Linked DNA regions of Rattus norvegicus. The protein of the gene in region 4 interacts with the protein of the main gene of each other region in a pairwise test. Links are inferred from orthologs where the notes say so. Each region holds a gene or a part of one and is shown on either strand. Other genes may lie near its edges. The genes, in order: Acot8, Cdkn2c, Exosc1, Rel, Il36rn, Magohb and Hdac7.

Evidence for each region.
Region 1: the proteins of Rel (region 4) and Acot8 interact in binary tests that used the Homo sapiens proteins (3 or more experiments, as listed by UniProt). The two-hybrid records come from large-scale screens. The link is inferred for Rattus norvegicus from reciprocal best matches to the Homo sapiens genes REL and ACOT8.
Region 2: the proteins of Rel (region 4) and Cdkn2c interact in binary tests that used the Homo sapiens proteins (3 or more experiments, as listed by UniProt). The two-hybrid records come from large-scale screens. The link is inferred for Rattus norvegicus from reciprocal best matches to the Homo sapiens genes REL and CDKN2C.
Region 3: the proteins of Rel (region 4) and Exosc1 interact in binary tests that used the Homo sapiens proteins (3 or more experiments, as listed by UniProt). The two-hybrid records come from large-scale screens. The link is inferred for Rattus norvegicus from reciprocal best matches to the Homo sapiens genes REL and EXOSC1.
Region 5: the proteins of Rel (region 4) and Il36rn interact in binary tests that used the Homo sapiens proteins (3 or more experiments, as listed by UniProt). The two-hybrid records come from large-scale screens. The link is inferred for Rattus norvegicus from reciprocal best matches to the Homo sapiens genes REL and IL36RN.
Region 6: the proteins of Rel (region 4) and Magohb interact in binary tests that used the Homo sapiens proteins (3 or more experiments, as listed by UniProt). The two-hybrid records come from large-scale screens. The link is inferred for Rattus norvegicus from reciprocal best matches to the Homo sapiens genes REL and MAGOHB.
Region 7: the proteins of Rel (region 4) and Hdac7 interact in binary tests that used the Homo sapiens proteins (3 or more experiments, as listed by UniProt). The two-hybrid records come from large-scale screens. The link is inferred for Rattus norvegicus from reciprocal best matches to the Homo sapiens genes REL and HDAC7.

The regions. Positions count from the first base shown.
Region 1 is NC_086021.1:173,955,689-173,959,188, forward strand, and holds part of Acot8 (acyl-coenzyme A thioesterase 8), read right to left. Parts: exon of another isoform or gene 3,324-3,500; coding exon of another isoform or gene 3,311-3,323; intron 1,631-3,310; coding exon 1,405-1,630; intron 1-1,404. UniProt on the Homo sapiens protein: Catalyzes the hydrolysis of acyl-CoAs into free fatty acids and coenzyme A (CoASH), regulating their respective intracellular levels. Displays no strong substrate specificity with respect to the carboxylic acid moiety of Acyl-CoAs.
Region 2 is NC_086023.1:129,642,092-129,646,243, forward strand, and holds the start of Cdkn2c (cyclin-dependent kinase 4 inhibitor C), read right to left. Parts: upstream 2,801-4,152; 5' UTR 2,280-2,800; intron 1,912-2,279; exon of another isoform or gene 1,828-1,911; 5' UTR 1,817-1,827; coding exon 1,688-1,816; intron 1-1,687. UniProt on the Homo sapiens protein: Interacts strongly with CDK6, weakly with CDK4. Inhibits cell growth and proliferation with a correlated dependence on endogenous retinoblastoma protein RB.
Region 3 is NC_086019.1:250,691,949-250,696,060, forward strand, and holds the start of Exosc1 (exosome complex component CSL4), read right to left. Parts: upstream 2,801-4,112; 5' UTR 2,792-2,800; coding exon 2,761-2,791; intron 2,676-2,760; coding exon 2,560-2,675; intron 2,538-2,559; exon of another isoform or gene 2,383-2,537; intron 2,340-2,382; exon of another isoform or gene 1,374-2,339; intron 935-1,373; coding exon 860-934; intron 1-859. UniProt on the Homo sapiens protein: Non-catalytic component of the RNA exosome complex which has 3'->5' exoribonuclease activity and participates in a multitude of cellular RNA processing and degradation events.
Region 4 is NC_086032.1:101,911,939-101,915,438, forward strand, and holds part of Rel (proto-oncogene c-Rel), read right to left. Parts: intron 2,725-3,500; coding exon 2,582-2,724; intron 1-2,581. UniProt on the Homo sapiens protein: Proto-oncogene that may play a role in differentiation and lymphopoiesis.
Region 5 is NC_086021.1:27,441,400-27,445,508, reverse strand, and holds the start of Il36rn (interleukin-36 receptor antagonist protein), read right to left. Parts: upstream 2,801-4,109; 5' UTR 2,630-2,800; intron 2,530-2,629; exon of another isoform or gene 2,505-2,529; 5' UTR 2,377-2,504; exon of another isoform or gene 2,273-2,376; 5' UTR 2,252-2,272; coding exon 2,220-2,251; intron 150-2,219; coding exon 64-149; intron 1-63. UniProt on the Homo sapiens protein: Inhibits the activity of interleukin-36 (IL36A,IL36B and IL36G) by binding to receptor IL1RL2 and preventing its association with the coreceptor IL1RAP for signaling.
Region 6 is NC_086022.1:166,770,541-166,774,489, reverse strand, and holds the start of Magohb (protein mago nashi homolog 2), read left to right. Parts: upstream 1-1,149; coding exon 1,150-1,243; intron 1,244-3,913; exon of another isoform or gene 3,914-3,949. UniProt on the Homo sapiens protein: Required for pre-mRNA splicing as component of the spliceosome. Plays a redundant role with MAGOH in the exon junction complex and in the nonsense-mediated decay (NMD) pathway.
Region 7 is NC_086025.1:130,810,018-130,813,517, forward strand, and holds part of Hdac7 (histone deacetylase 7), read right to left. Parts: intron 2,938-3,500; coding exon 2,804-2,937; intron 2,672-2,803; coding exon 2,551-2,671; intron 2,240-2,550; coding exon 2,190-2,239; intron 1,418-2,189; coding exon of another isoform or gene 1,164-1,417; intron 899-1,163; coding exon 791-898; intron 196-790; coding exon 140-195; intron 24-139; coding exon 1-23. UniProt on the Homo sapiens protein: Responsible for the deacetylation of lysine residues on the N-terminal part of the core histones (H2A, H2B, H3 and H4).

The DNA.
Region 1 (3,500 bases), on a different chromosome or scaffold from region 4:
GTGTTTACCTACATGCATGCATGTGCACATTTGTGTTTACTGGCTGTGGAGGCCAGAAAAAGGTGTCAAAGCCATTGGAAGAAGAACTAGAGGTGGTTATGGACCACCATGTGGGTGCTGGAACCCACACTTTGCAAGAGTAGCAAGTGCTCCTAATGGCTGAGCCTTCTTCAGCCATCCCCCATGTTTCTGAGATAGGGTCTCATGTAGCCCCAGCTAAACTGGGAATCACAGAGACCCACCTGCCTCTGCCTCCCAAGTGCTGGGACCCAGTTTATACTTTTTTTTTTTTTTTTTTTTTTGGTTCTTTTTTTCGGAGCTGGGGACCGAACCCAGGGCCTTGCGCTTCCTAGGCAAGCGCTCTACCACTGAGCTAAATCCCCAAGCCCCCCCCCCCCCCAGTTTATACTTTTAGTCCATAGTCAAGACCCACTTAGAGGCTCTCTGGCCCACTAATGAGTAGGAGCCAGAGCTTGAAAACACTGCCCTGGGACTGTATAAGAAAGGGACGAGAAAGCTAATGCGGGGCCATATAATAAAAATACATTATACACATGCATAAAGCTGTCAAAATGAAATCCATGACTTCATACAATATACACTAATTAAAAATAAAGGAGTGGGCTGGAGAGATGGCTCAGCAGTTAAGAATTCTGGCTGTTCTTCTAGACGTCAAGAGTTCAATTCCCAGGAACTACATGGTGGCTCACAACCATCTACGAAGGGATCTGATGCCCTCTTCTGGCGTGTAGGTGTACATGCAGGCAGAGCACTCCCACATGTAAATACATAAATTTAAATCGATGGGCAGGTGAGATGGCCTACAGGCCTGTGGACCTGAGTTCCACCCTCCAAGCCCAGGTAAGGGCAGAAGAGAGAGGGTTCCACAAAGTCATCCTCTGTCCTCCATATGCTGTGGTGTGCACGTGCAAACACAACAAACATATCTTACGTATGCTGTGGCCTGCACATGCACATACACAAACACGCCACACACACACACACACACACAATACTGATTTTTTAAAATGAAATGGAGAGTAGTATAGAAATATCAGAATGCATCTAAATCTAGTCATCTGAGTACTGTTTTATTTAAAGGCACGATCTCTCTCTATAGGTCTGGCTGGCTGGGCCTCCTCATGTAGACCAGGCTACCTTTGAATTCTCCCAGACTTGCCTGTCTCTAAAGGCATGCAGATTATGCCTGGGGCCTAAATGTAGTTTCTACTATAGGTCAAGGTAGTAAATGTTTTTAAGGTCTGGGGTGTAGCTGGGTGGCAGAACATACCTACCACACACTAGGCTCCTAGGTGTGATCCACAGAACCATAAAAACTAAAGAATAAAAGAAACTTAAAAAGTAAACAACAACAACCAGCTCTCTGGAGTCCTCTGGCCTCACCTTAAGTACTGGTCAATGAGGGCCTCATGGTCCAGCAGCTCCTCTGGGGGGGGCACAGTGGGCATGGAGAACTGGTGCTGCAGGGGGCTGGGCTGCATCTGCTGGAAGGAGGCCTGGCAGATGAAGATGGCCTTGCCATGCTGCACAGCCTTCACTGCACGCACTGAGAAGCTTGCTCCTGTTCGTGTCCTCTCCACATGGTACAGCACTGGCACCTTTGGGTCCCCTGCAGTAGGCATAAGGGATACAATGACCCTAAGTAAATCCATGGGTCGTCCTCGTTACAGTTAGTAAAACACCACCTCTGTTCCTCTCATCCTAATTTCTTGGTTGGCTGGTTGGGGTTTTTGTTGTTTTGAGACAGGGTTTCACTCTATAGCCCAAGGCTGACCTGGGACTCGGGGCAATCCTCTGGCCTCTGCCTCTCAAATGCTAGAATTACAGGTGTGAGCTATCATGTCCATCTTCTTTTCTTCTCAAAGACAGACTTCTCAATGTGTTGCTGTCACGTGCTGTTGCCAGAGACCCACACAGGCATGATGGTGGGCCATGTCTACAGCAGAGATCAGAGGACGTGCTGGGTGTGCCCAGACTGGAGACTGTGGGCCTGGGGAGCAGGTGAACCACAGAGAAGGGGACACTTATGGAATTGGTTAGGGACACACATTTGGCTTTCTCCACTTGGTACAAAGTCAGAAACTGGTGAAGTTAGGGGAGCTGTTGGTTAGTCTGTCAGTTATTCACCAAGTCCTGGCTGTCTGGGGCTGAAAAGGGTCACCTTCATGCACGCTAAGACCAGTGCCCTGCCACTGAAATGCACCTCCAGCCCCACAAGAGTGAGACGGCCAACTCGCTTCCTGTTTTTAGCCTTTCTCTGTGTATAAATACCAGTCTCTTCTGCCTGACTGAAACACGATTCTTCTTCTTTTTCTTTTCTTCTTTTTGATTAAATAATGAATTAATTTATTTGAGTCAGGATCTCACTGTAGCCCTGGAACTTTGTAGAGGACAGCATCCAACTCCCAGAGATCTGCCTGCCTCTGCCTCCCCAGTGCTAAGATTAAAGGCATGAGCCACCATGCTGATCCACACTTACTCTTTTGTTTGTTTGTTTTCTTTTGTTTTTCAAAGCTGTTTCTCTGCATAGCCCTGACTTTCCTGAAACTTACTCTATAAACTAGGCTGGCCTTGAACTCACAGAGATCTGCCTGCCTCTGCCTCCCAGGCGCTGGATTAAAGGTGTGCGCCTGGCAACTCATTCTACTTTTGAAACGAAGTGGTCCCTGGTTTCAGAATCAAAACTAAAACCAATCAATATATTTAGGCACCAGTCTGTAATACCAATATGCAGGGGGTTGAGGCAGGAGGATTAGAATTCCAAGTCAGAGTTGCTAATTTAGCTTAAAAAAATCAAACAAAACCCAGTGGGGCATCTCCTCAGCTGAAAGAACCACAGGATAAGAAGGCCAGGGTTAAGCTGGGACGAGGTCCTCTTGGGATAGGACTTGCCTAATGTGTAGAGAACCCTGGGTTCTACACAGCACAAAGGTTTGGCGGCATCTGCAATCCCCGTACCAAGGAGCCGCAGGCGAGAAGATTGTTAGTCAGGGACATCCATGGCTACACAGCAAGTCTGAGGTCAGCCAGGGACACAAGAGGCTACCACCCTGCTAGCAGCAGATAACTCCTGAGCTACGTCCCCAGTCCAGACCAAGAGTTTGCAATGAGAACTCCCCTGTCTCTGAGCCCAGAGCTTTAAGAGTCTAAGAGATCCTACTGACACATCGCTGGTCCCGCCTCGCCTCTGTTTCACAGATGAGTTCCATCGTAGCAAAAGAAAGTAACCTCATTCAAGATCACCGCGGCCATGACTACAAAGCTGACGCTCAACTTCCAAACCGCTTACCTTCTGTCTCCATAGCAGTTTACAGCCCTATGAGGACTTAGCAGTGCTGACACTAGAAGAGAATAAAGAAGAGAGCCAGGTGTGGCGTCGCAGGCCCTTAGTCCGAAACACTCGGGAGCCAGAGGCAGGCAGAGCTCTGTGAGTTCCAGGCCGCCCTGGTCTGAATGGTGAGTTTCGGGCCAGTCACGCT
Region 2 (4,152 bases), on a different chromosome or scaffold from region 4:
AATCTCCATGAAATATATTTTCTGGTTATTAAAAATTAATAGTCTAATTTTTGACACCTCTCCCTAAAACCTTAGTCACATTTAAAGACTTAAAGTGAGCAAAACAAGAAACACCTTCGCAAAGCAAATGTATGATGAAGTTCTCTGATTATTCTGATTGAAAAACAAGAGCAAAGGAGAAAAGATTTCTGCAGCTGAGTAAAAAGCATAATCACAGAGTAAAATTTGCCACCTTTGGCAGAAAGTGAGAGTGTAAATGATTTTGAAGAAATTTCTTCCTGATGACACAATTTCAGAGTCAGGATTATGTATACCGAAAAAAGACTCATATTTGTGTGTACCTGTTTCATTATATGTTTTGATATTAAGCTATAATAAGTGGGTATTATCTAAGTTTAATAGAAGCAAAGTTGGGTGGTTATTTTTTAAACGTTTGTCAAAGTTTAATTATATTAATTACCCACTCGCCCTGTGCTGTCTTTTTCTGAACACAGATGAAATGTTTTCTACTTTGTGACTTTTCAATAGAAAACCTTTCAGCATCTGGAGTTCATGGCATTGTTATCACCACCAAGCCAGTCCACAAGTACTAAGCAGAAAAACAAAAACAAAACCTTTTCCTTATTTAATCTTCCCAAATCAAGATAAATATTTTAGTATTTCTGCATAATCTTCCTCGGCAGAGAAGGTTTTTGTAAGGCCAGCCGTATTCTGATTTAAATTATACAGACCAAATGAGCTTTCTCCATTCTGGCATCTCCTGCCACTTAAATCTCTAATTTTTAAAACAGAAACAAAAATCTCTAATGCCTTTACCCCAGTGGGTTTTTTAAAAGCTGCTTCTGGATGGGAAAAGCTCCCAGGAGTACTATCAGAACTCCAATAAAAGCAACCGGTGGAGATCACTTTCCCAATGTTTTGCTTCTAAACCTTTCAGCAAAGTTACATGATAACATTTGGAGGGGGAAAATATCAGGTACATATTTGGCAGCTGGAAATGTGTCAGTTGTTGCCTGTAAATCTAATCACTGAAAATTAGAGCATACCACCACATGACCACAGGGATAATAAAACCACCACTGCTTAGCTCTGATTAGAAAATTCAACCTTTTAATTTCTCCTCACTCCTGAATGGGTGGATTAGGTATTGTATTAACTGTGAAAATGTACACCCTGTCCTGGTGACCAGGCTATCCCATACCAAACGAGGAAAGGTCGTTTGTTAGGACATGGAGCAGCTGAAGGTAAAACACCCTGCCTAACCGGCAACAGAATTAACTTTAAAGTCAATGATTAGGATCAAAATAGGTGAAAAACCACTATTAGCTGTGTATTTACTTCAAATAATAATCACAATAATGTGCTTAAAGAGCTATCTAAAACAACACTGCACAAAACAAACAGATTTCGACGATAAGACTACTTTAAAACCTCCATTGTCACAAAAGCATTCCAAAAATTATGACCAAACCTAGGATTCTCTTGATATCGAGGATGTTATTGGATTTGACCAGTTTCTCCAAAGTACGTCATTTTGGGGAGTTGGATCCACTTAAAGATATAAAATATGGCAACCATGTAGGTTTTAAAACAGTGAAGATCTGTACCCCTCCAAACTTAAAAGCTGTCATTTTAGAAGCCCAGGCAACCTTATTAACTTGTTTTTCCCACCTCTCTGGATACCAACCTGCAGCGCAGTTCTCCCAAATCCATTTTGAGCGTTGACGTTTACATTATTTTGCAACAAACTAGTAAGTTGCTCTAGGTCCCCCCTGGCAGCTGCGGACGCCAACTCGTTCCCCCAAGGCTCGGCCATTCTTTAGGGTCCTGACGATCGGGAAAAGACGATTAGTTGCTTCTCTTTTTCCCCTTTTCTTTGCTCCTAATCAGGCTGCATGATGGCATCGGAGGCTGACAGAAGGACTGGGATGGTTAATCTGGAGTAGAGCTTGGTAGTAAATACTAGTAAGGTCGGCCTGCCAAAAGCCCGCCCCTCGATTCACACGTGATTATTCAGCAAAACTGAGCCCATTGGAGAGGGGCTCCTTCCCTAGCTTTTTAGCTTAACCCCTAAGAAGGACTCTGGCGATTCGACAGAGATACATACACAGAAGCTTTTCTTGATTAATTACTATGGACGTGAGATGTAGGCAGAGCTGTCACGTACCTAAGCTTCACAGCTCTGTGAGGAGGATGTTGCGGAGACTTAAGGGACTAGGTCAGCTCAGAAAACACCGCGAAAGAAAAAGTATTGGAGAGTAGAAAAGGTATTAACCCACCCTTGTTCACAGTGGTGACTTGAGGCAGAATTTCAGAGTCAGGTCCTCCGCAGGGCTCACTTTCCATCCGTCTCGCAGAAGGGGGTAGTCCAGAGTGCGGCTCGCTAGCAAAGCGCCGCGCTGGCTGGATGCTGACGTGCTCGGGAGGGTTAAAGATGATTGCCGAAGGCAGACCAGAGCAGCAGTTCTGAAGCCCTCAACTCTCAGGTCTCAACGACTCCCAAGCGGGCTCGGCGTCTTCAGAAGAGCCTCCGGAGCCCGCCGGCCGGGCTGCCGCAGCCCCGCCGAGCCTCAGAGGCCGTGGGAGCCCGGCAGGGCGCGGGTCTCCGGAGGCTGGTGGGTGTGCGGCAGACCCCCGCCAAGCCCGTCATGCCGGCCCCGCCGGGTCCCGGGACTCCCGGCAGCCTGGGGACCGTGTAGGGCGAAGAGGGAAGCGTCTATGGGGCTCCAGCCGCTGGGGCAGCTCGCGGTAGCATCGCGCCTGCACCCGGCCAGCTCACCAGTAACTTCCCGCCTACGACCGAGCTAGCTCAAGCTCTCCACTGCAAGCGCTGGCTGAGCGGCGGCCGTCGCCTCTGTCGCGGTCTTTCCCTCCCTTTCAGATTTTCCCGGCGCCTCCGATGATGGGAAGGGTCTTTGGAAGTAGGAGCGGTCGCCGCAGATCCCGGGCGCAGTCTGTCCCGCCGACTTCTTGGCGGCCGCCCAGCAGCTCGGTGCCCGGTGCCACTTGGTTAGTTAGTTCTTGGCGGTCCTCCGGCCTGTGCCCCTATGTGTGCCGCGGACAGGACAGCGACTGCCAGCCAGCTCAGTCCCGGAGCTGACTCAGACTGCACCGGCCGGTCGGGAGCCGCGCCTGACAGTTTCTTTTGTAGTCCGATTCCCCCAAATCTCTGATCGCTGCTCTGTTCCCCGCTACAGGCACTTGCGCGTCTTTCCTTTAGGATTTTTCCCTCTCCTCTCTCCTTTGCTTCTTTTTCCGCTGAAGCAACTGCTGCTACGGTTGCCTCTGAAGGGACGGTGCCGGTTTCTTATCCCTTTTTTCCGACCTCATCAGCTTTTTTTGAAAAGAAAAAAATTGAGCGCTTTTTGAGTTGAAAAACCCGCCCCCATTTTAACGGCAGAGTTTTAAGGAGGCTCGGCGGAGTTAGGGCGCCGCGGGAGCGGGAAGGCCGGGCACCGCCCACGCCCCGCCCTCCGCCCTGGCGGCGCATTGGCCCGCGGCGCGCTCGCTCCGCCCTCGCGGCCCCGCGCCCTTCTCTGCCCGCCTTGGGCCTGGGTTCGCGGGAGCTCCTGCCCGCCCTCCCGCTGCGCTGGTCGCCGCTGCTGAAGCTGGGTGGGTTCGGCCCGGCCCGGACTGCTGTTCTGGAGCTGGCTGGAGTCGGCGAAGCCGAGCCTCTACCGCGAGAGACCCGGGTGGTGGTAACTGAGGCTGGGGGCTCAAGCTGAGGCCCTTAGAGGCTCGGCGGCCCTGTTGCTGGCTGGTGAGGAGAGCGCGGGCGCTCCGGCTGTCTCCTCAGCTGGAGCGGGGCGGTTCCACCTTCCTCGGAGCTCCCCGACCAGGCTCGCCGAGTTCGAGTGGCCTGGCCCGGGGCTGCTGTCCTCCTCCCCGAGCGCGCTCTGGCTGGACTCCTTTGCTCTGCCACAGGCCTTGCCACCTGTCAGGTCGCTGCCAGGGCTGCAGAGGGGACCCGACTGACAGAACTACACGGCAGAGAAGTCTTGTAGACTTGAGTTTTATGAGAACTGAAAGCGCATTGCAAGAAATCCTGACCAACTTCAAAGCCTTAAAGTTCCAGGGTCTAGAAAATGTTAACTTCTATTCTTGAGGGAAAGTGAGAAATACAATTAACTTTAGACAAGGCTTACAGTTAGT
Region 3 (4,112 bases), on a different chromosome or scaffold from region 4:
TACCTTGCAGCCTAGCTCCCCTTTGAGATTCCCCGCCTCCCAAGCACCATTGGAGGAGCGTGCACCTATGCCCTGCCAGCAAAAATTTCTGTGATGACAGAAATGTGATTTCCTGGGGCTGGACAGATGGCTCAGCAGCTAAGCGCACCGGCTGCTCTTCTAGAGGACCTGGATTCCATTCCTAGCACCCATATGGTGGCCTATAATTATCTGTGCCTCTAGTCCCAGGGGGTGCGACACACCTTTCTAGGCTTTGTGGTAGCAGGCACGCATATGATACAGACAAGATAACTATTCACATGAGGTAAAACAAAACCAATCATTTCCTAGAACTGAAGACGTACTTCTGGGGAGTCCATCACTTTCCCACACCCCCCAAACTAAAGTCATATGTCAACCAGTATGGCAGCCACTAACCACAATTTGCTACCGAGTACTTAAAATGTGAATAGTGTTGGGATTGTGGGGTGCAGGATCTCACTCTGTAGCCTATTCTGGTCTTGGACTACTGTTCAATAATTCTAAACAGCATCCAAATACCGAGACCACAGATATTTTATATTTTAGCCTGGCTAAAAATAAATTTTTCATTCTTTTCTTTCTTTTTGAGACAGGGTTTCTCTATGAAGCCCTGGGTGTCCTGGAACTCTCTGCATAGACCAGGCTGTCCTCAAGTATTCACCTGCCTATGCCTCCTGAGTACTGGGATTAAAGGCTGAGTCAACACATCCATCCCTGAGATTGACCTTCTAGCAGTAATAAACTTAAAACACCCTTCTCTAGCTAGGGACTACTGTATTAAGCAGCGGACCACGGCAGTTGTAGGATCTCGGCCTAATCATGACTAGGACCGGCTTACCTTACAGGTGACGACAGCTCCCACATCTGGAAGTAACTGGGACTCTGTCTCTCTCATTACTGATACCACGGGAAGCTGTGGAGAGAATACGAAGGTTAGTGTACTGGCTAAGTAAGCCCTGGGTAAAGAGAACTGAAGGCTGAGGATAATACAGGGGTATCTTACAACAGCCGAGGTCACAAGGGCAGGCAGCCTGTAGATTCATTTATAGCCCATAGCAGAGGACATTAGTCATTTTAGGAAATAAAGAGGATCAGAGGCCATTAGAACTAGGCTGCCAGGTTTAATGTGATCATTCTGATTAGTTGTAAATGACTGAAGACTCTCTTGGGATTTCCTGGTACAAATCCTATTGCTTATAATTATGAATATCCTGACTCTTTCTTCAAGCTATAACTTTTTTTTTTTTTACTTCAGGATTTGCAATTAAATGCTATAGAATGGCAACTCTTGTTTTACTCCAATGGCAACTGGTGTATTATCTTACCTCTCTTGCTCTGTGCTGTTTCCTTACCTTACTAAGTCCCTCCCATTTCACGTTGTCTGTCTAATCCATTCTTTCCACACTCCTCCACCTCTCCTTATCTTCAGGTGCCGAAATATTATTGTCACTATCTAGAATTCATGCAGCCCGTTACATGTTCTCACTGTTCCGCACACTTCTTTTGAAGATATGTTTGTGCATTTGCTCATGGTTTGTGTCTGTCTCCCTGGTAACAAAAGCTAAGTGTATTGGGCTCAGGACTCTATCCCCAGTAGCAACTAAGGGCACCACTGGGCAGGACATCTATGTAGTGAGTAGACTGACAGGCTGAGTTTTATCTCCAAAACCAATAGACTGGAGCCCATTTTTTTTACAAATAAGTACAACACAAAGTGGGAAGTTTGGGTTTTGCCAGTCTCTAAAGAGGGTGTGTTTTTCCCCAGGTCCCAAGCTAGGCAAACGCTGTGCTGATGAGCCACAAGCCCAGCCTGAGGAGGTTTAATTCTTAGTTTTTATAGTCTTACAAATGTCAACCACTGCTTTATCTGAGTCAGTTAGAAGCTGGGAATACACTCGTGTATCACCATGCATGGCTACACTTAAACTTCTACTTGGGCAAGAATCTAGTTATCATGAGTAACATATTTAAATAAGTGCTCCAGGGAAGGTTCTTGGGCACAACAATCCTACTGCCACTAAAACCCCCATTTTCTCAGTCAGCAGGTCCAGAAGGGCTTCTCTGGGAAAGCCATACATACAAACAAAAAACAAAAGGGATTGAGCAGAAGTGTGTTCCAGACAGACAAGTACATGCATTGCATAGGCTTCGAAACAGAGTTTAGTTCACTAAGACACTGAAAATCTCCAGCATTACTACATTGATGTCAGTGAAGTGGGACACAAGAGCCACAAGAAAGCGGAGGTAGTCGAGATGCATGACGGGAAGAAGCTCTCGGCTGGCCGGGCTATTCTCAAATTTGCGTGCTTTTCCCCTCCACCTCCTTCTGTGAGTGTCTCTACACAACTAAGCCAGCCCAACCTAAATGGTGTGCAGCAGGTGTGTTTTAGCACAGCGCTGGGATCAGAGCTGGGAGAAGCTGGGAGACCAAAGCTCTGAGACACCAAAGACAGGTCCTCCCGGTAGTGCCTGTGCCCAAGGACCAGAACTCGATGGCAGCCTGAGAGGTGACGCTCGTTGGCTAGCCGCTTTCTTTACCGCGCCATTCTCGCTGGTCTTCGTCAGGCAGCCAGCCAGCGACGAAAAGATGTAGCCGTGCCGGGTGTAGGTGCCGCTGCCCGGGCTGCCTTCCTCCAAGTTACACAGACGTTCGCCTGCAGAAGACATGTGCCTCAGCTACGAGCTCCCAGAAACTGGCTGCCCGCAGCCAGGGTCTGCCTGCGGAGACCGCTCACTTACCCGGGATGCAGTACCTCACAGGTGGTGCCATGCTTGCCACCGTCCACAACCCGGATGAGAACCAAGACGACTTCTTATTGGTCAACTAGAGGAGCGGCCTCGCAGTTACGCGTGCACCAATTGGCGCTTTCGACCGCGCAAGGCGTAAGAGCGAAGCCTGACTCCATTTCCCAGGCTGCCCCGGGACAGAGTTCTGGGCGTGACTTTGCGGGCTCTGAGACTCGCGCCTGCGCAGCTGGGTGGTGATGGGCTGTCCGCGGGTCTCGGTCCGCTGGCTGGCGCTGCGGGCTCAGGGCCATGGTGGGTTAGCCTTAGCTCGGCCCGGCCTGGGTCCCGAGCTGGAAGGGGAGGCAGTGAGTGGCTGACAGGGAGACTTGGCCTAATCTAGCTGATTGAGAAGCTGGCAGGAGGCAGGTAAGAGTGAAGGCGCGGTTCTTGTCCCCATCCGAGTCTCGGGTGTCCAGGCCCTTAAGTTCAAGTTCCTGGACTCTCTGCGCCCTGCCCTGCGTGGCTGTCCCAACTCATCCTCAGTCCCAACTCGCCCATTTCACGAGTTTGGAGACTCAGATCCAGAGACAAGGTTTGGTTTGTACAAAGTGTCGTAGATAGTTCGAGACAGACTAAGCTTAAGCCTTTTTTCTTTTTCTTTTTTTTTTTTTGACCTGAGCCTATCATAATTGGACCCTGCTGCACCTGGAGACACAACCTTTTTTTTTTTTTTTTTTTTTTTTTTTTTTTTTAAGCTTTGTAAAACGACAGTTTCTTCTCTTGCAGGCAGATACTCTAGAGCGTGAGCTCCTTAACTATGAATGGGCAGCTTGACGTTAACATACCATTCCTTTTGCATTCTTCCATTTTAGCATGTTAGCCGGGAAAGACAACTTCATTAATAGAATATTATGCTTTCTTGACATCAGCTTGATATGGCAAAGGTCACGGGAGCAGCAGCTGTGTCCAGATGAAATTTGCCGTGACTTGATCTCAGTTTCATCTCTTGGCTCTGGAATTTATTCCTATCTCCCCTTCCCTCCCTGTCAGTCAGGCTTCTTTGAGATACAGATGGTGATTTAGGGGAGTGCTGTTGCCTGCTAATCTCTACTCTGGTGGCAGATGGCCACTGTACTCTGTGGATTCTACTGAGAGGTGGCAGGACTTGGGGTTTGGAGGAACTATGCTGGCTTATCCCTCCTCTGTTCATTCAGGTCATCCATGACTTCTCACCACATTTAGATTTAAAGACTTTGTTTTTTTTCTCTGTTTCCCAAGGTAAAACCTTTTCACTTGTGGTCCATTTATTACATCTTTTTCTAGTCTCCTCCTTCTCCTCATATCCCACTAGGCTGGGGGGGGGG
Region 4 (3,500 bases):
GAGGAGGAGGAAGAGAAGGAGAAGGAGAAGAAGAAGGAGAAGAAGAGGAGGAGGAAGAGGAAGAAGAAGAGGAGGAGGAAGAGGAAGAAGAGGAGGAGGAGGAAGAGAAGGAGAAGAAGAGGAGGAGGAGGAGGAAGAGGAGGAAGAGGAAGAAGAGGAGGAGGAGGAGAAGGAGGAGGAGGAGAGAAATAAAAGTGTCAAAAGAAAAAAAAAAAGCCAGCGTTCTCTGAGACCACATTGCCCATGAAAATCCTGTGGCAAAGGAAGGTGAAAACAGAAGTAGGTTTTGAATTTCACCCCTGGCTATACCCACACCATAGGTGAGGGGAAAGCTGGGATCTTGGTGGAGGGTGAGACCACAAACGGAGCAAGACCTGGACCTGCCTTTCTGAGGCACCTCCTTCCCAAAGTATCTGAAACATCCTCTCAAAACATGTCTGAAAACCGTCTCCAGAGCTGCAGTGTCTGTCGTATGCTGCAGACAGCAGCAGATGTGCTGTGCGCTGCCTGCACTAACGTCCAGATCTACCAGGATACACTGGAGTAGGGGAGTAAGGATAAAGACTCTCTCCTCTGGAATGCTTTAATTTAGGAACAGAAAATTTCTTAAGAGGAGCCAAAAATGACTCACAGGGTTGGAAGAATAGAACTCTAAATTAACTTTTCACTGTATCTTTCATGTGAACACCTAAAAAGAATTCAGATAATACAAATCAATATTGTTGCAAAAAAATGTGATTTGGAAACATGAGGTTATGGGTCTGGAGTGACAGCTCAGCAGCTAAGAGCACTGACCATCCATAGGACCAGAGTATATTTCAAAAAACTAGGAGGGTTTGAGTGTTTCCACAAGGAATGATAAACGTTTGAGGAGCTAAGTGTGTTTAACCTGATTGAAGCATTACATGATGCATACGTGTATCATATATTACATGGCATCCTGTTAACATATATAATTTAAGCATATATATATATATATATATATATATCAGTTAAAATATAAAAACAGAAATTTGGAAATCAATATACAACTTGGCAATTGACTTATTTTTTAATTTTGTAATTCTTCTTAGGTTCAATAAAATTAAACTGCAAATAATAAGCTAGTCACAAAACAGTGATTTCAGATCTATGGATGGAATATTAAGAACCATATCTCAAAATCCATTCTGAGACAGTGTCTTCCTTTTATCCATCTGCCCACCACGGCCTCCCAAGTAGATGAGATTTTGGTGGGTGACACTGCCCCTGATGTGCTAGTAACTTTGTTTCCATTTGTTTGCAGTGATAAGGTCTGGCTTGAATAGTCTAGACTGGCCTGGAGTTTCTTATGTAGCCAGGCAGTTCTCAACTCAATACCTACCTAGCTTTGCCTCCCAAATGTTTGTCACGTGCTACCATTGCAACTCATCATTCAGGTTTTTAATTGGAACTCAAACGATAAAACTAACTAGGCATGACTGCCCATGTCTACAATTCCAGTATGAAGGTGCAGAGGCAGGAGGCGAGGTCACTACAAGATCGGGGCTAATTTTGTTTCAAAACACTAAACATGGATAAATAAATTATAAAAATGAAAAGGCAAGTGTATATGATGTATAAACATAAAATATAAACATACCTAATAAATATAGTACATTTGCTAAATTTATTTCCAACCCAAAAACTGTTTTTGCAGGCTAGGGATATATATCTTAGCGGCAGAACACTTGTTTGGCATTCCTAAGATTCTAGGTTCAATCCCTAGCACTGTCTGTCAAAGAAAGAGAGAGACCAGCAGTTCGAGCCTGTAGCAGCAGCACTCCTCTAAGGAGATGAGAATCAGAAACAGAAGAACCCTGGAAGCTGGTGGACCAGGTGTCTAAAGTGGAAAAACAGCAAAGACGCACTGTCTGGAAACAGAAGAATGAGACAGAACCCACCCAACTGTCCTGACTCCCACGGGGCACTGAGGTACCCAAGTGTCTACATTCACACACACAAGACGAGCATACGCTCACACACTTCACACACACGCAGAGAGAGTGATACTTTAGACGATGCTAATAACGCAAGAGTTTCAGCGATCATTATAAAGGCATGATTAAAATATCAAAAGATGATCCAAATCTACCTTTAACATATACACTAACTGCACTCGCCAATATGCGTAAAGAATGCCTTTTCCTCATCAAGTGCTTTGTGTTAACAGAAGGGATTGGCTCCTAAGCTGTCAGTGTGTGATAAGCCCTGCAAATCACTGCGGTTACATTAATACATGAACTATACAGCAGGACAGAGTCGACAGTTTTAAGAGATCCCTATACATCTAGCTAATGAAGAACAAGCACAAAAAAAAGGGGGGGCCCAGAGCATGGGCTTGCGAAAGACGGTTAAGAGACTGACTGAGCCTTCAGCCAGGCGGTGGTAATGCACACCTTTAACTCAGTACTTGGGAGGGAGGCAGAAGCAGGGAGATCTCTGGCCAGCCTGGTGTATGGAGTGAGTTCCAGGATAGCCAGGACCACACAGAGACCCTGTCTAGAAGACAATAAGACAGAATGAAGCACTAAAGGCGAGATCCTGAAGAAAGGCCCATTACCTGGATAGACGGGTAAGTCCGGTTGTTGTCTGTGCTGCGCTCCCCTGGGATGCTGCCGGCTGAGCGACCTTCACACTTGTACCTAAACCGCATGCCCCTCTGCCTTGGCTGTTCAATGATTTCCACGTAGGGATTATATCCGCCTGAAAGTATTAAAAAGAGCGGGGCGATGAGATTAGAATGGTAATACGATGGACTTTAACAGCTTGGTTTTCAAAAAAAACAGACACCGAAAGATCTTTTTCCTTCCCCACATTAAATGACAAGGTTAAAAAAATGTAATCATCAAAGGTTAAATGAGGAAGACACCATTTTCTTGTACAGACTGAGTTTCTACGTAGTAGTGACGCATAACTGATTAGTGCTCTGCTGCCTAACGTCTGTACCTAATAAGTGCATGAAGTTCTCAGGTAACAACTTTTAGAGTCACCTGCCCCCTGAGGCCAATCAGAAGATTTCTCTCCCAACATTTCCCAAGAAGGGCGAAGAACACAGTATTCAGAGATACACTATAGTCCAAAACCAAGTAAAATGTACCTAACTGCTTTGTTTTACACTACCACTGCGTGAAAGGACATTCCCTGAAAATTAAAATGTACTTATTATGTCCTTGTATGGGCAAGTCTGGAACACCAAAGGATCTGTACGCAATATCCCAAAACAGTACACTGACTTTGGGCTCAACTACAGTTTCAAATTAGTTCTATCTAAATCTCCTCCAGAATGTAACATACAGTGTGGAGTTAATAAAGTCATTTGCTTTCCATAACAAATGTAATTCATATGCTGAACACATGCAACTTAGGATAAAACACTATTAATAGAACTATCAACGTGAGTGTGTTGAGTGAAAGAGGCTAATCGAAAACAAGCACACACTATACCACCCATTTACATGAAACTCCAGATATGTAAGCCA
Region 5 (4,109 bases), on a different chromosome or scaffold from region 4:
TTTAAGGGCTTCTAAACACATACCCCAAGAGAGTACAGAGACCTAGGACTCATAGATACCAACCTTTAATTACCTTCCCCGCATGCAATCCTCCAGCCAGCAGCTGGTTATTGTGCAGATACAGTACCTTCAAGGCTGAATCCTTCATTCTGAAACACCAGGAAGAAACAAGCCTCCATAAAGGATAGAGATGGATGTCTTACCTTGCCTTGGCTCCAGAAGGATCCCCCAAATTCAGGCACTTTGTCTCGCTCTATTTCCACAGTTACATAGTCATGCAACTTTCAGGCCTAGCTCTGCAAGATGACTGACTCTCTCTCCCTTCTTCTCATCTGTACCTGAAGTCTGTTACTTCCCCACATTAAATCTTTTACATATGCTCTGTTGGGCCCCTGTGGGTTGGAGCCTTAGACTCTTCAAAGCCAGGACCACTTCTCTATCTTCATTGATTCCCCTGATTCACAGGCTTCTTATCCTAAACCTGTCTTACGACCTGAAAGTTGTTTGGACATGTTTAACCCCTGCGGGAATCTCTATGAGCAGAAGAGGGTCTTACCTGCGCTAACTCTTACTGGGAAGGTTTGGATATGAGTTGGAACAAACAAAATTCCTTTTTGCTCTGAGTGTGACTCTCTTCATTGCTAAACCATAGCAGAGGGTTAAATAACAACCAGGCCTCTTCCTGATTAAAATCTGATGCTCACCTTTTTGTTTTGTTTTTGAGACAGGATCTCATTGTGTAGTCCTGACTGGCCTGAAACTCCTTCTATAGACCAGGTTGGCCTCATACTCATAGTTCTGCTGACTCTACCTCTCATTTCTAATCCGACTGAACATTTCACAGCATGTTTGAGTCCATATGGCCATATATTTTATCCTGGGGACTTTCTTTTAAGTTTTATTTTTCAAAGTTACTTCTCAGCTGATTTTCTGAGATTCTGTAAGATGAAAATTTTATTCTACAATAGACCTCTGCAGTGTAAAATTGTCTTGATGTCTAGCCGAACATTTTTTGCATCTGTATGTGTACGGTGTGCATATGTGTCTTCATGTTCACATATGTGTTGGTGTATGTGTATGCATGCCCACAAGTTTGAGTATGTACATGGAGGCTGCAACCCCACGTTGGGTGTCTTTCCTAACCCTGCACCACTTTATTTGCTAAGGCAGGGACTCTTGTTGAACCTGGATCTTTCCAATTAGACTAGTCTAGTCAGCTTGCCCCAGGGATGTCCTGTCTCTCCATTCAGGTGCTAAGATTAGAGGTTGGCCTCAGACACACACTAGACTTTTATGTGGATTCTGAAGATATACATTCTGGAAGTCACATTTTCCCAACATGAATGTCTTTCTGCTTCTGTGGAGCCATCTTCCCAGCCAAACATGATGAGGAGGTTTCATTCCACACCCTCATTCTTAGAGCACTTTTACACAAACCATTTCATGGGGCTGAGCCTCAGAGCACACACTTCAGGAGATTCTCCAACACTTTGTTAGCATAAGAATTGGTTCTAGGACCCCTGCAGAAACTAAAACCCACAGGTGCTAAGGCCATTAGATCAAATGGCTGTAGTATTTGCCTCTAACTGATATCTATCCTCCTGAATACACTAACCATTTCTATATAACTGTAATGTATTATTTATGGGAAGAGTAACTGGGAGGTCTGTATATGCGCACCACAGATGCAATTTTTCCTAATATTTTCAATCAGTTTGCTGAATCTGTGATTGTAGAAACCACAGATACAGAGGGCTGACAAGTTATAAACTGAGTCCAGTGAGAGTAAGGAGCATTGTCATCTGCTGCTATAAAATCTGTAGTAAGATGCTGAGCTCAGTGCATCCCACGGAGGGACTGTTACTCCCATCTCCAGCAAGGATCATGGAGAAATTAGTACAGTGTCTGGACTGATGCTAATTCATCATCATGGAGGCAATAGTGGAGCTCTCTAAGGGACACTGACTCTGCTCACCAAAGATGACAGGCTGCAGCGCTAAACCAGTTACTTGTCCCATCCCCCATTCCACACTCTTAGAATCAGGAACCTGTGAGGATCCTGCTTAGTTTTTCCCAGTCTGAAGAAGGTCAAAAGAATTCCAAAAAATATCCTATCTTCCTAGCTACCTGTGATAGCCCAGATGAGAGAACAGTCCTTCTTGTCTACTTGAAAGTCACTTTTCTGAGGACACCACCAAATCAGATGACCAAATACTCACCGGAAGCATAGTGCCCCACTCAGAACCATCATGAGCTCCACGATATGTAGACCCTATTTTGAAACAAACAGCAGGAAATTTTAGGCAAAGGCAAATCTGGAAAATCTGAGGGAGGCTTGAGTAGAAAGCATGCTCCAGAGTCTGTCAGTTTGTGAACAGCCTGTGTGAAGGAGGAGATTCTGGATCTGGAAGTTAGGAAAGACCCCACAAAGCATCCATCAGATCTCCCCTTTCTCCAGATAGGAGCCTGTGGATGACTGCTTGCTTCTCCAAGATGCCGTGGTCCTTTAAGTACATGAAATACACTAATGATCCAGGGAGGAGCCTGAAACTCACTAGGGAGGAGCAGGTTTTCCCAGAATGGTTTCACACCATCCCAAACTTCCAAAAGCACCTGCTGTCGTTCTCACCTATCTCTCAATGAAGGAAGCTTCAACAGTCAGCCTTCTTCCAAAGATTCAGAAGGACTTTCTCTGGCCTTTCCAATTCTCCAGGTACACTCAGCTACTTCAGAAAGTAGATCCAGAAAGTCAGAGCAACCTTCTTTCTTCTCTCTCTTTCTCTTTCCCTTCCTTCAGTCCCTTCTTCCTGCCTTTGCCAGACCTATGGAGCTGTTGGAGGCGGAGATCTGCTTAGGAATGTTTAGGCAACAGTTGTAGAAAAACCAGAAAATCCAGACAAGCAATAAAGAAAAATATGCATGCTGACTTGCCTTTGGATGCATTACAGAAAGTGCCAATACCTTTTCCTTTGAACACATTTAACCACAGGCAACTTTCCATTCAGCAACACTACAGAAAGTATACTTTTTTAACCCACATCTTTAGCAGAATATCTTCCTATACCAAACATGATAATAACATGTAAGTGTACATAGCTCTAGTCTTCTACTCATCCACTTATCTTATTGATCCTTCCTGAAGCTGGGCTTGTTTGCTTGTTTGCTTTTGCTATAGAATACTATGTGTGACAAACTGCCACAATTATATACTTTGCCTGTCTTAAATACTTGGTTAGTAAAACAATATGTAATTATATAAAATAACTGATATGTTTTTAATACCTCTATAAACTAACAGAATTAAAGGTAAGCATCAGTGCATAACAAAAATGTTCAAGTTTTGATTCTTCCTGCAAACTATTGGTTGTTACTGTGGCAAATGTCTTTCAGGAAAGTAAATTGAATGTAGAAGCTGCCTTACATAAAATTGTTAGATGGACTACTATTTGACTAAGTAGAAACAACACTATAATATTTGCAAAAACAAAACAGTTTTAGGAAGAAGCAGCCTATAGGCAAAATAAAGTTTAAGCAAGATTGTTCCTATCTGTCAGAGAAGTCAATATTGTTTCATTAAAAAAAGCCAGACTGTAGGATAGCAACCCCATCCCTCACTTGATGTCCTGTTTTTCTGCTAAAGGTGGGTTCAATAAGCTCCCTTTCCCCATAGTAGGGCATTTCATCTAGGGTCCTGAGAGTCCCTCACTTCCCAGGTCTCTGGTACATTCCTCCCAACCTCCTTCTTCCCGAGGTCACCTGTTTCTATTCTTTCTGCTGGCCCTCAGGGCTTCAGTCCTTTTCCCTCACTCAATACCAGATCATGTTCCCCTTTCCCTCCCACCCCCATCCCCTTTGCCTCCCAAGTGGAACTGAGGCATCCTCACCTAGACCCTTTAGCTTGTTGACCTTGTTGAGTTCTGTGGACTGTATCTTAGGTAGTCTGTACTTTTTTTGTTTTTTTTTTTTTTGTTTGGCTAATATCCACTTATTAGTGAGAACATACTGTGCATGTCCTTTTGGGTCTGAGTTATCTCACCCAGGATGATATTTTCTAGTTCCATCCACTTGCCTGCAAAATCCAGGATGTCCTTGTTCTTAATAGCTTGGTA
Region 6 (3,949 bases), on a different chromosome or scaffold from region 4:
ATCAACCCCCCACCAGAGAGATACATTTTACTTTGTGTCTTAGTCAAGGCTGTTAGCCACTGGATACTGTGAAGCATTATCCAAAGAGACTCTGGTAGATTGTGATCCAGTTGCCACTGAAATGTATCTTTACTCACTTCACCAGTTACAGGAAGTGGAGCCACACCCAACTTTACAATGTGCTTGGAGATCAGAGATACCCACCCTAAGTACAGCTTGTAAACCTTAGTTCAAAACTCAGAAAAATACACACCCATACCATAGGGCAACCAGAAAGTAAAAATGGTTTGCATATGTTCCTCCCAAGCCCATTTAAATAACTAGAAGCAAACAAAGAAAACCCCAAGCTATTTGTTCTTTTCTAAAATACTGTGAAATATGCAGGAAAATGGACAAATCTGTCAATTATTATAGTTAAGTGAGGTAACCGTGAAGTATTAATGCAAATCTTGTATAGGGATCTTAGCTTTTGTATGCGTGTATTTATGTGCTTGTGAGTATAGGTTATTAAACCTGAGAGGATACTGCGGGTTGGTTAAAGAAATGGAGTGGGAAGAGTAACAGGATGCATTTAACAAGAAAGTGCAGCGGGAATAACTGGGACAGAAGAATTGGAGACAGTATATGAGGGAGAGGTGTATGGAGTGAGGTTCAATCAAAACAATATACAATGCCACAATGAAATCTGCGACTTTGTACCAACCATCGCGCTCATGCAAGCAATCTTTATAAAACTCGGTGATTCTCCCCTCAACACAGACATACAGGAGATGTAAAAGCACAGGAGGGCTTATTGGTAAAAGCGGTTCTGCAGGAGAAGGGATGGTGGAAGGTAACGTGGTGGGGGCGACTAAAATTCATCATATACGTGTATAAAACCGTCAGAGTTAAAAAATAAATATCGAAGCATATAAAAAATCTTAAAAAAAAAAAAAAAGAAAACAAAGCGCTTGAGATTGTGGTGAAGCGGCTCCAGCGCAAACCTTCAGAACTGAGGGTCTCTCGCTTTGTCTTCAGTTCTCCCGGCTTTCGTTCCCTACCGGAGTAAGCGCGCCCTCGTTGACGCTCTTTGCCCGCGCCTGCGACGTCACTACTCCGCGCCGGCGGCACGTTGGACCGGCGGTATACCGGGCTTTACCGAGGGCAAAAATGGCTTTGGCTAGTGATTTCTACCTGCGGTACTACGTCGGGCACAAGGGCAAGTTTGGGCACGAGTTTCTGGAGTTCGAGTTTCGGCCGGACGGTGAGCGGCGGAGAGGCTGCGAGGGAGGGCGAGCCGCCCAGGGAATGGGTTTCTGTTTTTTTTTTTTTTTTTCCCTTTCTTATTTCAATGTACTTGTTAGTTTTGAGTCAGGGTCTTGTGTAGTGCAGGCTGACCTCGAACTCACGATTCTCTTGCTTCAGCCTTCGGGATAGTGGGATGGCAGGCATGTTACAACGCTCCAGACTCCAGAAGAACCGGTTTGGAGGGTTTCATACCAATGTTGGAAGAGTTTGCTTGTGTAGCACGCCTGCGCAGTGCTTGTAAGAGAAAAAAAAATGCTGTAAAGTAATTCAGAAAAGCGGATCTTGCCACTGTCAGAAAAATTGAACACACAGGAATCGGAAACTTAAGAGCAGAGAACCTGTGCTTCGGGAGTGTTAACAGAATTATCAAAAGACACATACTCTAGCGGATGCTTGTAATCTTTAGGTGGCCTTTTTGGCCTACTCATTCATTCACTATCTGTGTTAAGACTGCTTTGTAGGGGAGGAACCCCGTGTCTGAACACGGGAGTGTGATATGTGTCAGGTTTGAAAGACAATTCTTCACCAGTGGATGATGGACAAAGGTAAGGGAGTCAATGAATGCTCCCAGAAGCTCTTTTTGTGCTGCCTTCTAGATAGTTGGTCAGCTCTGTGTAGATGAGTCTGAATATCTCCTTCCTAGCCACCAGCTGTCAGAACACTTTCAGGTGGACAGTGAATACAAACTTTGTACTTTCTCGGAGAAGCAAATGGCCACAGAGGTAGCTACTGATGCTCTGGGTGAAGAGTGGATGGATGGGTTGTGTGGTCCCAATCACAAAAAGGACTGAGAATGACAAACGGTTTTACCATGAAGCAAGGCTTCTTGACCCAGTGCAGAGTACACCGGTTATTGTTAAAAAACAAAAATGATATTGCTGAACTGAGCCCCTGTCCCTCTGTACTTGGGTCTCAAAGAGCTAGCAGAATCCTAAAGTGTTTCAGTGTCTCTAAAGAAGATGATGTCTGCTCGTGCACCGTTGAAAAGCCCTTGAACAAAGACTGTAAGAAATCCAGGAAGAAAGCACGCAAGACCCAAACATCTAGTTACTTCATATGTCCTGGAACACCACCAACTCCAGTGTATTGTTCTGAAGAAACAATGCACTAAGAAAAATAAAGTAGCTACAGAATGAGCTAAACTTTTGACCTAGAGAATGAAGCTAGAGAAAAATACTTGGAACAGATTTCTAAGAGACGTAGGCTGTCCTCAATGGGAGCTTCTAATTTTGAGTATTAGTCCAGTAAACAATAAGTGTTTAAGAGTAAGAAATAAATGATCAGACCTTGAAAAACAAAAACAAACAAACAAACAAACAAAAAAAACCAACCAAACAACAACAACAAAAAAGGCTTTGCCTGAGTCTTTAATCCTAGCATTCTGGAGGCAGAGTCAGGCAGATGGAGTTTCAGAAAAGCCAGAGCTACACAGAGAAACCCTGTCCCCCGAACACAAAGATTCCCCCTACAAAAAAGAACCTTCCTCTAGAAGATGAGATACTTGATTGAGATAAAAACAATGAACCTTCTTGGTTTCTGGATGAGAGAAAACCCAGAAGAGAACAGAATTAGCAGGGATTTGTTGAAGCCCCTGTGTAGTGTAAGGCAATTCTTACCTGTACCAAGAATTTTTATTTGTGAATGTTCATTGTGTAGTCGGCAGTATATAAATGTCAAAGCCGAAGGTAGTTGGGAGATAAACATTTAACCTACGATAGGATAGTATGGATTTTATTTAAGTGCTTTGTGCAAGTTTTGCACAAGGTTCTTTGAAACGTAAGGAAAGGATCATGTATTCCAAAGGTTTGGAGCGTTTAGGAAGAAGTCAGCATAGCAGTCAGTGTCCTGCCGTTATTTTGAAACTTAATAACTTCAACCTTGTTTTCCAAATTTTGATGTCGTGGCCTGGTCTTTTACTCTTTTATTTTCTCTGCTTTTTTTTACTTATTCCTCTTGTAATTCAGTTCTTGTTCCTCTTGCCTGTGAACAACACCAGCTTGTCCTTATCGCCCTGAGTCACATGAATTAAGAACCCCACGGTATCAGGGGAATCTTAAGTAGAGGTCGGTCCTCATGCATCTCTGCCACCGCATTGCTCGACTCACATGCAAAATCATGAACCACAGAATCTGTCAGTTTGGCAGATGAGAAAGACATTGCAGCTGTATCAGGGCACCTGACTGACAGGGAAGCACACACCAGGGGCTTCAGAGCTTGTGAGGAATGGGTTGAATAAGTCAGCGAACAGGCTTGGCAGTTCATGTCGTTTGCATGCTTCCTAGTTAAAAAAAAATCATTATCTTATCCATATACACTAACATGAAGGGAAAGAATTGAGAGATCATTTTTGGAACTATAGAGAAAGAGTTGATCAAAAACAGACCTTTTGAGACTGTGTGACGCTGCGTAAGTTGCTTGCCTTGATTTTATCTCCTGTGAAGAGGTGAGAAAGTGAAACCCATTCTTAGAATTCCTTTAGAGACCAGGTGAAATATTGTGAGAACAGCACTAGGTACTCACATGACACTAAAGAGAATACTTAGTAGTTAGACACAGTCACTTTGTGCTCAGGGCTAGGTAAGAAAATAAACTGTTTACTGTGCACAACTTTAATCCCCAAACATAGGCAACGAGGCAGACGGATAGATCCCTGTTTGTTCAA
Region 7 (3,500 bases), on a different chromosome or scaffold from region 4:
CAGAGTTGAAGAAGCAAAAGCCCCTGGAGGAAGGAGAGAGGGTCCTGCCAGCCCATCCTCCTGCTACTCCGCCTCCAGGAGGGCTTCGGAGGGCTGCCTCCACCTCACGCCACATAGGTCCACCCCGCTAATGGCTTACATGGCTGTAGAATGATCTGCATGGTGTCCTGGAGGCCGCACCACAGCAAAGCCATTCTGAAAGGGGAGGAGAAGCATTTATCAGTTCAGTAGCCGTCTCTCAGTCCTCATCTGCCCGAGAGCCTGCTTTCCATCCCAGCGGCCTTCTCTAAGGATTAAAAGGCAGGGGTGGGGCAGCAGCGTGCACCATTGAGACGTCCAGACCTCTCCTCCACACTGCTGTCATCACTTATGGGCTGCACTTGAGCACAGCACCCCTCCCTGGTAGCTCCTGGCTGTCATCACAGTGACACCTATTAACTACTAGAGAAAACCACGTGCCTGGTCCTGTGCCCAGTACATCACTGATACTCCATTTGCTCCTCGCGGCATCCCTAGAGCACAAGACATCATCACCCTCCCCAGTTGACAGACAAGAAAGCAAAGCTTAGTGAATTAAACAACCCAAGTTCTGTGGCTGTACGCGGTAGGGCTGGGATTTTCAAATCAGGATGACCAACTGCCTTACCTTGCTTCCAGCCCCGATTTCCCTTTCAAAACCCAGAGGCAACACCCACAAGCAATGGGAAGTCGAACGCTTGGAGTGTGGACTCACTTCCATCACCCCGGCACCAACGATTTAGCTTACCGGCCTTTCATCTAAAGTTCTTACCTTTAGCTCTCGGGAAGCGACTTTGAAGGCAAGGTCGGTGACGCTGCCTGCAGCCCAGCGGGCTGCATTGGAGGAATGCAGCTCATTCCAGATGGTGTCAGTATCTACCTGTGGGGGCCAGGGTCAGGACTGCATCATCCTGTGCTTTCCGTAGGTGCCGGGGTCCAGTGAGGCAGTACCCACCCCATGGCCAGGACCCCAGGGGCAGGGAGCTGGGCAGACAAAGCTGCCTCCCCAGTGCCCCACCGCCCAAAGGCAAGGCCTCCTGTGTCCCCCAGTCCCGGGAGAACTTCTTCCCAGTGTAAGTCCCAGCACCAGCTCGTGTGTGGCCAGCACTCTGCCTCCCCAGTCAGGGGAGGGGGCATGGCGTTACCTGGGCGGGATTGGGGTTTGGGCCGGGAGGGGTTTTAAGCCCCAGCTGACTCTGCTGACCCTGCGGGACGGTCGGAGCTGGAGGGGCCGTCTGCACCACTGTCTTCCACACGGGGCCCCTAGCCCAGGCTGGGAGGCCCCCCAAACCCAGTCCCTGGGCCTCAAGGCTAGGGAGGGGCCGGGGGGCATGATGGGGAGATGGGAAGGGCGAGGCGGACGGAGAGAGGCGAGGAAGGCAGAAAGAGTCGCAAGAGGCTGGAGAGAGAGAGAGAGAAAGGACAGAAAGGGAGAGGAGGGAGGAGAAAACAGAAGCAACAACAGTTGGAAAAACCAGAAAGTGGCAAGAAATGGGGAGTTGTGAACAGGGCACTGGCTGGCTCCCCAACAGTCCCCTTAACAGCTCCCGCTTGCTCTCCTGGGCTCGGCTTCCACCTCACTGCCACACACCTAGCCTGGCACCACAACGACGGGAGAGCCATGTCAGAGGCAGCAGAAAGACCCCCCAGCAGGCGATGCGGAGGCAAGCAAAGCTAGAGGGTTGGAAATCCGTGTCCTGGATCGGGAGGTCCTACACCTCTAAGTACATGGGAGGTACCCCACAGCTCCACACGAGGTCTGGAGGTCGAGTAAGGCACACCTCGAGTCTCTGAGAGAGGCCCACTCCTGGGCAGGCAGAGCTGCCAACTCTGAGAGCCAGTGTGGAATGGCCAATGCTTGACCCCTGGGGTCTATCAAAGGGGCAGTGTCTAGCCTCAGTATGACCCTACCTCGAGCCTCACTCAACACCTACCAAATACTTTCTAACTGAGAGGCCCTGGGCTCCACACTCATGGGACACTTATGGTACTGGGACACACCTATCACAAGGTGCTTCCAGATAGAAGACCAGAAAGGGAAAGGCCCTGCCTTCCCGACTCTGGCAGAACCACAAGTTTCAGGTGGCAGAGGGGTGGCAATGGGCCGAGAGAACCGAACGAAGGCTGAAAGGCCTTGGCAATGCCCACTCGAGATCTCTAGGCATACTTACCCCAACCCCGCCACAGGGTAGCATCACAAACGTCCGCTGGGCCAGGAGTCCTGTGGGGAAAAGCCCAGGTCACGTGAGTAAGGAACACGGATGCTCTAAGATAAATAGCTATGCAGGGAGAGGCAGTACGGGGAGATGTGGAGGTGGAGGTGGGCAACGGGGACGGGGAGGACTATGGAGGTATGGACCGCGGACGGGTGATGACAGGGGGTACGGGGATTGCGGGCAAGGGGATACGGCAACCGGCATGGGAATATCCAGGAAGCTGAAGGGGTTCAGCTGGGCCAAGAGCACACAAGTGGGAGAGATGGGCAAGTTTGGGGCGACTCAGGGTCAGATGTCATCTGTCTCCCTTCCCTACCTGTAAGCTTCCCGTTATCCAGTTTGAGGCGGCTGAGTGGGTTTGTGCCGTAGAGGAGCACGTGCCTTTCAGAGTGGACTGACTGCAGCTCTTCTAGGGAAGCCTTTCGGCCTCGGAGACACTGAGAAAGGGCCCACAGAGCTCCTAAGGCTTGCTCACCCATGCCCAGGCCACCACCAGATCGCCCACTCTCCCATCCCTTGCTGGCCCTAAGGCGTCCCACAGCCTATTTTGCATAGTCCCACCTCCTCACCTCACACTGGCTGCGGAGACCCCGTTCCTGCAGCCGGGACCAGATGCTCTGGATGCGGCCTGCGTGCTCGGGATGCTTGCTGTTGTCTCCACAGGAACATTGGTGTTTCAGCATCACCGAGTCATAGACCAGCCCTGCAAGAAGCAGACGCCAGGGCTGGAACGCCAGGGAGACCTCCCCGGTGGCTACAGATGGAGACCAGCCCACAGCCGGGGAGCCAGACATGCGTACCTCCTTTGCTGCCTTTTCCAGGCGCGTGAACGTCTGCGTTTCCTTTCCAACCCTTCTGTGAAGAGCTATGTTTCCCTATGCACAGGCCTAAATGCTTCTGATAACCTGATATCCACACCAGGCCAGTGCCTGCCGCACGGCCGCTGCACATTGCCTTCTGGGTACTCTTACTCCTCACAAGGCCCAATGCACCTCCTATGCCTTTGAGAGTTCATGCCCTAAACCCAGAGAGACTTAACACAGGACATCTCTGTAGTGGGTTGGCCTGCTTACCTCAAAGAGAGCTCACTTATAAGACACTGAGGGACCCCGCCCCCCAGTTAATTCTGATTGGTAAATAAAGACGTCAGCAGCCAATAGCTGGGGAGAAGAGACAAAGAGTTTTCGTGGGCTTTGAGAGATTGCTAGGAGCAGCCTCGGAAGAAGACCGCACAGGAGGGGTAAGGAGAGTCACCATAGGGTGAGG